Linked DNA regions of Oryctolagus cuniculus. The protein of the gene in region 1 interacts with the protein of each later gene in a biochemical or structural test. Links are inferred from orthologs where the notes say so. Each region holds a gene or a part of one and is shown in the gene's direction. Other genes may lie near its edges. The genes, in order: DSG1, JUP and PKP1.

Region 1 (3,644 bases):
TATAAAGATAATTGAAAATGAATCTTGATGTGAATGGAATGGGAGAGGGAGTGGGAGATGGGAGGGGTATGAGTGGGAGGGAAGTTATGGGGGGAAAAAGCCATTGTAATCTATTAACTGTACTTTGAAAATTTGTATTTACTAAATAAAAAAGAAATTAAAAAAAGAAATTCTTGAATCTAAAGATCAGAGTTAAATTATGACAACATTAGTAAAGTCCTTTAGAGGACAAGGTATTCCCTATTCTGGATCCAAGACTAGCACAAAGTGTGCAAATAATACAAGATGAAATTATAAATGTTGAATAAAAGAGTGATGACTGCATAGACTTAAATTTCCGAGGGTGGTATTATTTTTCTTGTTTGATAGCTACCATTGAAAATACTAGTTATACAATCACCATTGGAAATACTATAATTATTATACTTATCTAGGAAAGTAGTTTCTTATTTTCAACATTTCCCAGGTGACAATAGGTACAGCACTTTCACCAATTCTCACAAAAACAGCCGTCACACCCCAAATGCAGAACTCTTTATTTGCTCTCTGTGATGTTTGCAATTGTGTTCTTTCTGCAGATTCACTCAGACTGTGCTGCAAACCAGCAAGTAACATACCGCATCTCTGGAGTAGGAATTGATCAGCCACCTTATGGAATCTTCATCATTAATCAAAAAACCGGGGAAATTAATATAACATCCATAGTTGATCGAGAAGTCACCCCTTTTTTCATTGTAAGTGAATTTATTTCCATCTATATTCAGACGTAAGTTACTCTTGAGAAATCTGAAACTGAGCGCATTCTTGATTTGATTTCAGGAGTCAATAGTAGACATTTTTGACTCTTAATTCATGAGCATCCATAACCCAACAGAAACAAAGAGAAGATAAATAGAGAAAGGAGTGTTTTGCTGTTTCAGCAAAACTGCAAACCTCCAGTGGTCCCCATGACCAACTAGAGTGTTTGTTGGGAAAAACATTGCATTTTCTTTAATTCCCATTGAAATTGTTGTTGTTTTTTTTTTTTAACTTTAGTATCAAATAACAAATCCGGAGCTACTAAGGAATCTTTTCTGAGTGGACAAACTTTACTATAAATTCATGTTGCTTAAGTTCAGTTGAGCTCTGAATGTACTCTGGAAATTAATTTATTCTTAACTGAATCTCACTCCATTCTTTACAGGGGCTGTCACAAGGCTTAAGTATTCTCTCCCTCCAAACACACAAACTCATTCCACTTTAAGCAGCTGATCTTGGGCCCAACTACCTTAAGAAGGCTGAGACTATCCATCACAAATTCCCACAATTAATTCTCCTCAGCTCAGAATGCTTTTCAGTAAATCCAAATGCAGAACCAATTTTCAGCTTTTTCTCACGGCTTACCCTGAGCCATTGTCCCAGAATTACCTATTTCTTCAAGAATCTTGTTCCATCAAATTAGTCTGTTTCTCTCTTTTCTGCTTGCACTATTTCTACTTTCATGACCCTTGCTTCTTAATATTTGAAGTAAAAATAAAAATAATGATGGTCTTATTTGATCTTATAATTGCTTCTAGTAAAACTCCTCCATCTTTGGCTTAAAACACTTTCAAATAAGAATCTACTCTTGCTGCTTTCATTTCTGCTGCTGATCTGTGTTCCTGGATCTACTTTCATTCTTTAATCTTCAATTCCGTATCTATATTCCTATTTTGTCTTTCACAGTATTTGCCCGCAAACTATCTAAATTAGCAGGTCAGTTTAATAGTTCTCCTTGAGACCAATGTATTTTTATATACTACATATGTAAAATAGTGTATGCACTTAATGTATACTTGAAATATAAATAATTTGAACACAAAACCCATATAACAGCTACCTAGCTCAAGAATGATACATCTCTTGTATGCTCCCAAGAGATCCTCCTTTACCTAATTTTAAAACCCTCCCAACAGTTCCTATTCCTAATTTCAAAAGTTGTGTTTGTATCATTCTTTCTTTCCTTATATGACTCTCTTTGCTTGGAACACCTCACCAATTCCCAGTCCCACTTACTGAAATTCCTTGAGACCTACTTCAATCTTTACACCCTCTGACAGCTCATAGTATTTTGTGTTATTATTTTGTATATATTATTGTAACTTATAACGTTACCTTTTCTTAAAATATATTTTGTGTTTGTATTTGCCATCTCTTATTGATTATAAATGCTACTTATGCCTAATTTCTAGTAGCAAATAATAACATCTTTCTTTTAACTTCCCACAGTGCCTAGCAAGCTAGAACTCAATATGTGTTTCAACATCTAATTATTCCTCTTTTCTCTCCTAGATCTACTGCCGGGCTCTAAACTCGCAAGGCCAGGATCTGGAGCGGCCTCTGGAACTCCGAGTCAGGGTTTTGGATATAAATGACAACCCTCCAGTATTTTCAATGACTACATTTCTAGGACAAATAGAAGAAAATTCTAATGCAAGTAAGTAATATAAGTACCCTATCAAGCACTCTTCCAGATACTCAGGAAATTAGAAGTCAAACTATATAAAGGTGTACTTGTAGATGTGAAGATAAGTTACAGAACAGCATGCAGAATAGAAAGTCTTTCCTTCCTTAAAAAAATTATTTATTTTGAAATTCAGAGTTAAAGAGAAAGAGAGAGAGAGATCTTCCATCCTCTAGTTTACTCCTCGGATGGCCACAATAGCCAGCACTGGGTCAGTATGGAGCCAGGAGCCAAGAGCTTCATCTGGGTGTACCATATTGGTGGCAGAAGCCCAAACACTTGGACCATCTCTCGTTGCTTTTCCCAGGCCATTAGCAGGGCACTGGAATGGAAGTTGAGCAGCCAAATACAAACCAGGGCCCACATGAGATGCTGGCATCGAAGGCAGCAGCTTGACCTACTACACCACAGTGCCAGACCCAGAAAGCTTTCTCCTCAGCTACAGGGGCAGATCCAATCTGTTACACACAAGGAGCAACTCTGAACAATGAGGAGGTTTTTCTCATGTAATTCGTATCCTACCACTGTAGGAGATTCCCAACAGGAAATTCCCATTGTAGTTTACACAGGGGCAGCAGGGGCACTTGGATGAGAATTTAGCTTCCCAATGAGATTGCTGCCCATTCTTACCCACTTCTGCTCATACTGATTTTTTTCAACTTAACTACTTTAAAGTCACTCAATCATAGAAATCACTTCAATACAATCTATTTTGTCATCAAGAGCTTTTGCAAAACAGTATTTTCCCCTTCTTATATATGACCTAATAAGTATTGGCATCCATTGGGCGTTTGTCCCAGCACCTCCAGCAAATACTACAATCTAGGTGTTCAAATTCCTTATATAAAATGGCATAGTATTTGCATCCAAATTATACAAATCTCACCATATACTTTACATCATCTCTATATGACTTATAATATGTAATACCACGTGAATCTTCTATAAATAGTTGTTATACTGTATTGCTTAGAGAATAATGGCCATAAATGTATGTACATGTGCAGTAGTTTCAGTCCATAGTTAGGTTAAATTTAGTGATGCAAAACCTGAAAATGGAGAAGGCAGGTCATATAGATTTTGTTGGTTTTTTACTCATCATTGATTTTATGTGTTTTAAGTCATTATGCATCTAATTCTATTTGGTCCACTAGGCATATTT
Region 2 (3,644 bases), on another chromosome or scaffold:
CCTGGCTGCTGGGCCTGAGGGGCTTCATGGTGGGCAGCCTTGGCCATGGGAGTCCCTTCCGGGCTGGGGCTGGTCCCCGTGGTGTGGGGTGAGCCCTCTTCTCCGTGGCCCGGCTGAGAAGCCCCGGAGTTAGGTGCTGTCTGGTGAGGACGGGGTGCTTGTCACTGGGGCCGGAGAGGCCCAAGCGGAGCAGACGGCAGCGCAGCGAGGGTTAACCCGCTGTGTTTACTGCTCCGGTTTCCCCTCCCTTCTGCAGAGCCAGGCTGTCCAGTTTGCTGCCTTCCGCCTGCCCTGGGGTGGCTTCTGTGACAGCTCCCCCCTCCCAGGCCCTCCGCGCTCTCCTGGGATCCACCCGGCCCTGGGCAGGATGGGAAGGCAGGAGGAGCCCCCAATTTCCTGCCTTTGACCTTGTCTGCTGCCCAGGATGGGCTGTTGGCGGCGGCGGCGGTGGTTGGGGGGCGGTCAGGGCTCCTCGTGGAACAGCCGAGCTCGGGGAGTGGCTCAGCAGCTGCACGCAGCTGGCAGCCCAAGCCTGCCGTATGGTGCACTGGGCCTGCTTCTGTTTTCAGCCCGAAACTCTGAGTCACTCAGGGGGGCGGGGGGGGGGAGGAGGCAGCTGGGGGCTGGTGGGGCTCCTGCCTCTGCCTGTTGCAGGTGTGTTCCCAGCAGGGGAGGGGTGCGTGTGGCCATAAAAGGCAGCCAGACCTGGAGGGCCATTTGTCGTCCTCCTTGAGGGCGGCGCTGGGACGGTCACTGGGAGGACCTGTCCCCTGTGCTCTTTGTTCCTGGGTGCGGCCGGGTTGCGCTAGCCTCCCCGTCCCACCCCTGTCCTCGCCCTGTCCCCCTGTGGTCTCCCTGTCACAGTGGACAAGCATTGCTGGGTGGGCCAGCCTGGGGTCTGCCTGCTCTGCAGACCACCCTGGAATGTGCAAAGGCCACTCAGCCTGTGGCTGGGCCTGGCCCTGCCATTTCAAGCCTCAGTTTCCACATCTGTGAATGGTGTTTTGAGAATGGCTTGTGAGGATGGTGACATTCACAGGGGGCCCGACTCTGAGCAGATCCTCACAGGGTCCCAGCTTCTCGTGCCTTCCCCCAGCCACTGACCTCGGCAGGTCACTTCCCAAGACGGTGGGAGGTTTGCCTCCATGCCACCCAGCAGGGCCTGGCCTTCATTAACCTCAAGGGACCCCGAGTCTTTGAGGGAGGGCCGGGCTCCTGGTGGTGAGAGTGACGGCCTGAGCACCCTCCTGTGTGCCAGGAGGCGGTGTGACCCATTTCACAGAGGGGGACACTGAGGCTGCGCTGAGAATTGCCCGGTGGTCGGGTCGGGTCGGTGGCTCAGTCTGTGGCACTCAGTGCTGGGAGAAGCTCCCAGGGGCTGGGGTGCTGGGACCACTCGTGATCCTGCCCCACCTGCAGGAAAGTGACATCCAGGAATCTCTGAGAGAGCCTGGGGCGCCCGGGAGAAACCTGTCTGACTGCTTCCTGCCCCACCCAGTGTTCCTTCCAGCGCCTGGGTGCTGGGTGCTGGGTGCTGGGTGCGCTCCTTGCCTCCTCCGCAGCCTTTCCCAGGGAGCCCAAACGAGGAGCCGGGGAGGCCCGAGTGCCTTCTGCTCCCAGGAGGGTGGGTTGGGGCAGCGAAGTGAGGGAGTCCAGGCTTGGCCAGTGCCTGGCCCCGTACTGCCCACTCCCTGGTTCACCCACCCGGGGCTGGAGGTCAGAGATGCAAGCCAGGGGCACACACGCGACAGGTCCCCCAGGCGTCTCCTCACAGCAAGCCCCTCTGTGCCCTGTTGCTCTCTGCCCCCTTCTCCCCACTGCCTCATCCTGTGACCCACCAGAGCCCTGGGGCTATGGTGGGGGTGAGGGGAGACGGGCTGGGTGGCCAGCTCACGGGCTGCCCTCATCTGTGCCCCAGCAGCCACCATGGAGGTGATGAACCTGATGGAGCAGCCGATCAAGGTGACCGAGTGGCAGCAGACCTACACCTACGACTCGGGCATCCACTCGGGCGCCAACACCTGCGTGCCCTCCGTCAGCAGCAAGGGCATCATGGAGGAGGAGGAGGCCTGCGGGCGCCAGTACACCGTCAAGAAGTCAACCACCTACACCCAGGCTGGGCCCCAGAGCCAAGGTCGGGAGCTCTGGGGGCTGGCACGGGCCCTGGTGGGCGGGCCGAGTCAACAGAGGGAGGTTGGAGGGGGCTCCTCTCTGGGCACCTGTGTAGTCTGGGCGTGGAGGTACAGCTCCTGCTCATAGGGGCCCACCTAGTCAGAGGGAGGAGGCACACTAAGGGCGCCCCATCTGGGAGAAACACACACACTCTTTTCTGAGCCCTGCCCTCGGAAGGTCACCAGTCTGAAGGAGGAGGCTCAGTCCTCACCCTCTTTGAACCTCAGGGCATGATGGGAGGCACGCCCACTGCCCTCTGGGAGCCCGTGGATGGAGGAGGGGAGATACTTCCTGTTGCTCCAGGAGCCCTGGGTTTGATGGGAGAGGCAGGGCTGCAGCTCTGGGGAGCCCTTAGTCTGGTGGAGGCAGCGCAGTTGGTCCCTAGGGCTGGGACTCCTGTTGAGGGAAGGAGACCGACGGGCAGAGCCCACCTGCCCCATGGCCAGGGGCATGGTCAGGCTCCCCTGGGGGAGAGGAGTCGCTGGGCACAGGGACTGTCACCCACCATTCAGGACCGTGGGGTCCGTGGCTGGCTGCATCCTGACCACAGGCAGAGGCCGCTGGGCTCAGCAGCCCCAGGCCCTGTGTTGGCAGCGGACAGCAGAGCAGCCCAGCGGGAAAGCTGGGGAGACGGCGCCTCCTTCCCAGCGAATCAGTGCAGAGCCCCGGCCTCCCTCCCCGGGTGCACTGGGCACTTCTGTGGGACTCCTGGGCCCTCCCAGCACCCTGGCTCCCTCTGCCCGCTGCTGAGTGCCGCCGGTGGCTCTCGGGGGCCCCCGGCTGCCTGGTGGGAGCCTCGCTGCCATCAGGAGTGATGAGGGTGTAATTAGAAGTACAAGGTCGAAGTTTCAGGGTCGAAAAGCAACCTGGACTGTCTCATCCCTTCCCCTGCCTGGTGTTTTGTTTGTTTGTTTGTTTTTTTAAGATTTATTTTATTTATTTGAAAGAGTTACAGAGAAAGTAGAGACAGAGAGAGGTCTTCCATCTGCTGTTTCACTCGCCAAATGGCTGCAGCGGCTGGAGCTGAGCCGATCCAAAGCCAGGAGCCAGGAGCTTCTTTCGGGTCTCCCATACGGGTGCAGGGGCCCAAGGACTTGGGCCATCTTCTACTGCTTTCCCAGGCCATAGCAGAGAGCTGGATCAGAAGAGGAGCAGCTGGGACTAGAACTGATGCCCAAATGGTATGCCAGTGCTTCAGGCCAGGGTGTTAACCCGCTGCACCACAGCGCTGGTGGTTAAGGGGGCAGAGGGAGGTAGGGCCTTGTGCTCCCTGTCAGGCCTTGCTGCCTCTCTGTGCTGTTTTCCCATCTGTGAAGTGGGAAGACGAACGGTACAGACGTGCCTCATATCAAAGGGCGGCTGGCCCAGGACCCTCGTGGATACCAAAGTCGGCCAGTGCGCAAGTCCCATGCAGAGCCTCGCACAGTATTTGTACGTAAGCTCTGCACACCCTCCCCTGCACCTTAAGTCCC
Region 3 (4,400 bases), on another chromosome or scaffold:
AGTGAAGTCTGCACCCCAGCTATGACATCAGCAGCAAGGGTGACCGCTGTGACAGCACCACACAGCAGGTGGGAACCGGCGAAGTGGGTCAGCGATGGGGCCTCACTCTACACAGAACAGCCAAGGGGTCCAGGAGCAGAAGTGCATCGGGGGCAGGCATTGTGGGGCAGCAGGACCCCACATCCCGTATCAGATGCCTCATCCAAGTCCTGGTTACTGTGAGCTCCCAATCCAGCTTCCTGCTACTGCACGTGAGAGGCAGCGGACGATGGCCCAAGTGCTTGGGCCCCTGTCACCTGTGTGGGAGACTAGGATGGAGTTCCTGGCTCCTGGCTTTGGCCTGACCCAGCCCTGGCTGTTGAAGGCATTTGAGGAGTGAACCAGCAGATGGAAGACCTCCTCTCTCTCTCTCTCTGCCTTTCAAATAAATAAATCTTTTTTTTTGAAAGAGAGAAGTGAGTCCCATGTGGCCAGCCCCTCTTGTGTCAGGAAGCAGGGCAGGTGTGATGCCTCTTAGGAGATGCCCAGCCCCTGTTGCACCCAAGTCCCTGCTGTGGGCTCCCTCCACACCCACGGTGGGTGCTCCATGAGAGGGGTCCCTGCCTGTGTGACCCCCGGGGCAGGAGTGCAGGCCAAGGAAGAGCACACCAAAGTCCTGGAACAGAAAGCCTCCTGTGGGAGAGGGATGTAGTTTGGAGGGGGCCAGGCAGCTTCAGGCTGTCCAGCCAGGATCTGGGTAGGATTCAGGTTCGCCTTAACTGATCCTAGATTAACCAACCTTCATCCACCCCTCCATTCACAAACAGCTCATGCCCAGGTCCCTGATATATAAGGGACTTTAAACACCTCCTAGAGATAAGTTTGAAAGCAAAATGATTTTGAAACCCATGCATAGATTGTTTTCATTGTATGCATTTTCTGTGAATTCTCTGTGTACCTGGGGCATTGGTTTAGGGACCAGGTTCTGCGTTTACAGAAGCCCCACTGTTCATGAAATGTTTTGCCTGGGCTCACGGGCATGCGGGAGAGTGGCCAGTGCCACTTGGTAGTTCCGTGTCCCACGTCTGGTCTTTCATAAGGCCTTCCCCCCTATCCCACTAGAGTAGCCCAGGCTGCCCCTTCTCCGTGCAGGAGCCGTCCGTGGGCTGGCCCCTGGCATGAGCTCCGCGCGGAGGGAGCTGCACCTGACTCCTCCGCTGTGCCTGGTCAAGAAAGACATCCGAAAAACAGGTCTCCCCGGCTCCTTGGTGCGCTTGCTCCAAGGGCCTGCAGAGGCAGAACTAGGGGCGTCTCCTGGGGCTTTCCACCGTCGTGGGGCGAGAAGGGAAAGGCGGAACGGCCGGCAGCGCGCCGCGGCCGGCACAGAGGACTGGCAGCCCTGCCCCCAAGAGCGCTGGGCCGGCAGCGGCAGCGCCCTGCGGCGGGCGTCCGGGGCGCGCGGCGGCGCGCAGCCGGCGAGTGGGAGGTGCAGGCTGGAGGTGGTATATCCTGTCTGGCGGAGGGCGGGCCTCGCCAGTGCCACAGAGGGACGAGCCGGGGGTAGAGGCGCCAGGAGCAGCTGCCGGGAGCCTCAAGCAGACCGCGCACTCTATGGCCATAGGGAGCCGCTGAGAGCCAGAAGAGCACGCTCCCGCCGCCCGCTGCGCCGCACGCCCTCCTGCGCCTCTCTGCCCGCCCGGCCCGGCCCGCGCCTCCCGCCACCATGAACCACTCGCCGCTCAAGACCGCCCTGGCATACGAGTGCTTCCAGGACCAGGACAACTCCACGCTGGCCCTGCCGTCCGACCAGAAGATGAAGACCGGCACGTCGGGCCGGCAGCGCGTGCAGGAGCAGGTGATGATGACGGTCAAGCGGCAGAAGTCCAAGTCTTCCCAGTCGTCCACCCTGAGCCACTCCAACCGAGGTAAGGCCCGGCGCCCGTGCGGCCCGCGGCAACCGAGGGGTCGCGGAGTCCCAGGGCTGTCGGCCCCGCGCGCGAGCAGGGCGTCCCCAGCCGTGGCGACCGGGGGCGCGGCGGGGCGCGGCAGGAGCTTTACTGCGCGCGAGTGGGCGCGGCTAGGTGGCTCGCCGGGACCGCGCCGGGAGCGTGTCTCCCGCCCGCCGCCGGGAGGCTGAGTCTGGGGCTGGAACCCTGGATCCGCACGGCTGGGGAGAGGGCGCTCGGCTCCCGGAGGGCTGTGTACTACCGGCACCTCCGTAGTTCCCAGGCTCTGGATGCGCCCCTGAACCTGTCCTGGGCCGCCAGCGCCGGAAGCTCGGGCTGAGCTGGGCGGGGTGAGGGGGTCACGGAGGCCTGAGTGTGGACTCAGGAGAGAGCAAGAGGGGATCGGAGGTGGCACCAGGAGCAGGGATGACTCGTGGGACCTCCCGCCGGGAAGAGGCAAGGCTGCCCCGCAGTGATCCAAGACAAGGGGCTCCCCAACAGCTAAGGCAGAACCCCCCTTCCCACAGATTCTCCCTGCGGCACTCGGCTCCAGGAGAGCCACGGGCTCATGGGGGAGAGTGGGAAGCGAGGGCGGCTGGGAGGGGGTCCCTCCAGGTCCACGGAGACCTGGGCTGAGCCGACCATGGCACTATAACAATCAGAGTGCCCGCCTCTGTGGGTGACATGGTCTCCCGGTGGGGGAGGCTTGGAGAAAGGCACAGGACCCCTGGAACTGAGGGGCAGTCCCAACAGGGGCGTTTGCGCGGAGCGTTTCGGCCAACACTTCTGCGCAAGAACTGCACGCAAGGCAGCAGGCCCCAGTGCGGACACTTGTTTCTTCCACTTCTTAATTTTACCAATTTTAAAATGTTAACAAAGACCCTACCCTTTGTGAACCAGAACAGGTCAGCCGTGACTAGCAGACAGGGAGGGGCAGTGGACAGTCAGAGGAGGAAGCAAAGGAGACAGACCCCTGCCCGTTCTCCCTGCCTCACACACACACACACACACACACACACGCATGTAGGCACAGCCACACACCTGCCAGCTCCTCTCTCGGCCTCTGCCTCCGTTCCTGAGCTGCCTCTGGGCCCAGCTGAGAGAAGCGAGAGGCAGATCTCCCACCCCCAGACCTAAAGGCCTGGCTGCTCGGTGCCCTTTGCCCCTGCCCCTGCCGGGGCTCTGGGCTCCTCTCCTTTGATTTCCTGTCTTGACAATTGCTGACGAGCCTCTCTGGGAAGCAGGTCTGGCTACAGTAGGGGGCATAGCTCAGTCTCACCTGCTGCCCCCTATGTGAGACCTGCCCACCCATTGCCACTCTTCCCACTCCACGGCAGCCTGAGCTCCTGGCTCACAGCGCCAGGAAAGTCCCAAATCTGCTCCACGTGCCCCGGATGTTTTGTCTTGTGCCCTCCGTGGGGATGCTGGCCGGACGTCCGAGCCAGGCCAGGCTGTTGCTGTTCTGTCCTTGGTCTTTGAGGGTGACGTCCATCTGATGGGGCCTGGATCCCTGCGTCCCTGGGTTGACTCTGATGCCTGCCCTTCCAGAAGCTGTCCAAGGACTGTGGATGTCGCTGTGTGTCCCCTACCTGCAGCCTCTGGGGAGGTTCCCAAGGGGTGTCAGTTTCCACAGCTGCACCCGAGCTGGAAGAGGCGGTTCGGTCGCTTGGCGCTGGTGTTTCTGGTTTATCCGGCTTTGTTTTCATCAGATTTCTCTGTCCTCCCCATCAGAAACGCCCAAGCCTCCCCTGCCTGCTCCGTGGCCATCTCCACTCACTCTGCCCCTCTCGCTCTTGCTTTCTGCGGCCGTCAGCCTGCTGGGTTCCTGCGAGGGAGGCGTTGGCAGCCGGGGAAGGGTCACGCCCCGGGCCATTTCCTGGGTCCCCCGGACAAAAGCGGATGCTCCTTTGGTCTCCTCCAAAAGCAAGGAGCTGGCTTCTCTGGAGTCCTTGACCCTCTTGGGCCCCCTGAATCCTACCCAGGGCCCCCCTTAATTAAGAAGCCTGGCCCCACGCACAGGTGCCCGTCCCCATGTTCCCGGCATCCTAGTGCCTTTCCTTTGACCCTGGCTGCAGCAGGGATCTGAGTCCTGCAGGCTGGAAGGACCCAAGTGGAAACAGCCTGGCCCCCAAAGGCCCATCTGCCCCCTGTCCCTCCCAGGCTGCTCCCCAAGTCCCGGGGAGGGGGCGGGGACCCTCAGGGGCCTGCTGTGGACCTGCCCACCACCTTGAACTGCCCTGTGTTTTCAGGGTGCCCCAGTGTGCAGCCAGGTGACTGTGTGGGAAGCCAGAGGAAGCCGAGGGGGACGTGACCACAGGCAGAAGTCTTTGCGGGGACACGTGGTCTCCCTGAGGGTGGGGAAAGCCCTCCAGGAGCCCTGGGGGTGGGGGGCGGTGCACTGCTCACCCAGCCCGAAAGGTGACGCTTCCCCACCTTCCAGGCCTTCCTAATCTCTCCCTAAGCTTTGCTCACATC

Evidence for each region.
Region 2: the proteins of DSG1 (region 1) and JUP form a complex in vitro, tested with the Homo sapiens proteins (2 studies listed by BioGRID and IntAct). The link is inferred for Oryctolagus cuniculus from reciprocal best matches to the Homo sapiens genes DSG1 and JUP.
Region 3: the proteins of DSG1 (region 1) and PKP1 form a complex in vitro, tested with the Homo sapiens proteins (2 studies listed by BioGRID and IntAct). The link is inferred for Oryctolagus cuniculus from reciprocal best matches to the Homo sapiens genes DSG1 and PKP1.

Annotation. Positions count from the first base shown.
Region 1 is NC_091441.1:46,347,115-46,350,758, reverse strand, and holds part of DSG1 (desmoglein-1), read left to right. Parts: intron 1-578; coding exon 579-734; intron 735-2,310; coding exon 2,311-2,455; intron 2,456-3,644. UniProt on the Homo sapiens protein: Component of intercellular desmosome junctions. Involved in the interaction of plaque proteins and intermediate filaments mediating cell-cell adhesion.
Region 2 is NC_091448.1:20,934,489-20,938,132, forward strand, and holds part of JUP (junction plakoglobin), read left to right. Parts: intron 1-1,918; 5' UTR 1,919-1,926; coding exon 1,927-2,134; intron 2,135-3,644. UniProt on the Homo sapiens protein: Common junctional plaque protein. The membrane-associated plaques are architectural elements in an important strategic position to influence the arrangement and function of both the cytoskeleton and the cells within the tissue.
Region 3 is NC_091444.1:17,300,397-17,304,796, forward strand, and holds the start of PKP1 (plakophilin-1), read left to right. Parts: upstream 1-1,485; 5' UTR 1,486-1,702; coding exon 1,703-1,904; intron 1,905-4,400. UniProt on the Homo sapiens protein: A component of desmosome cell-cell junctions which are required for positive regulation of cellular adhesion.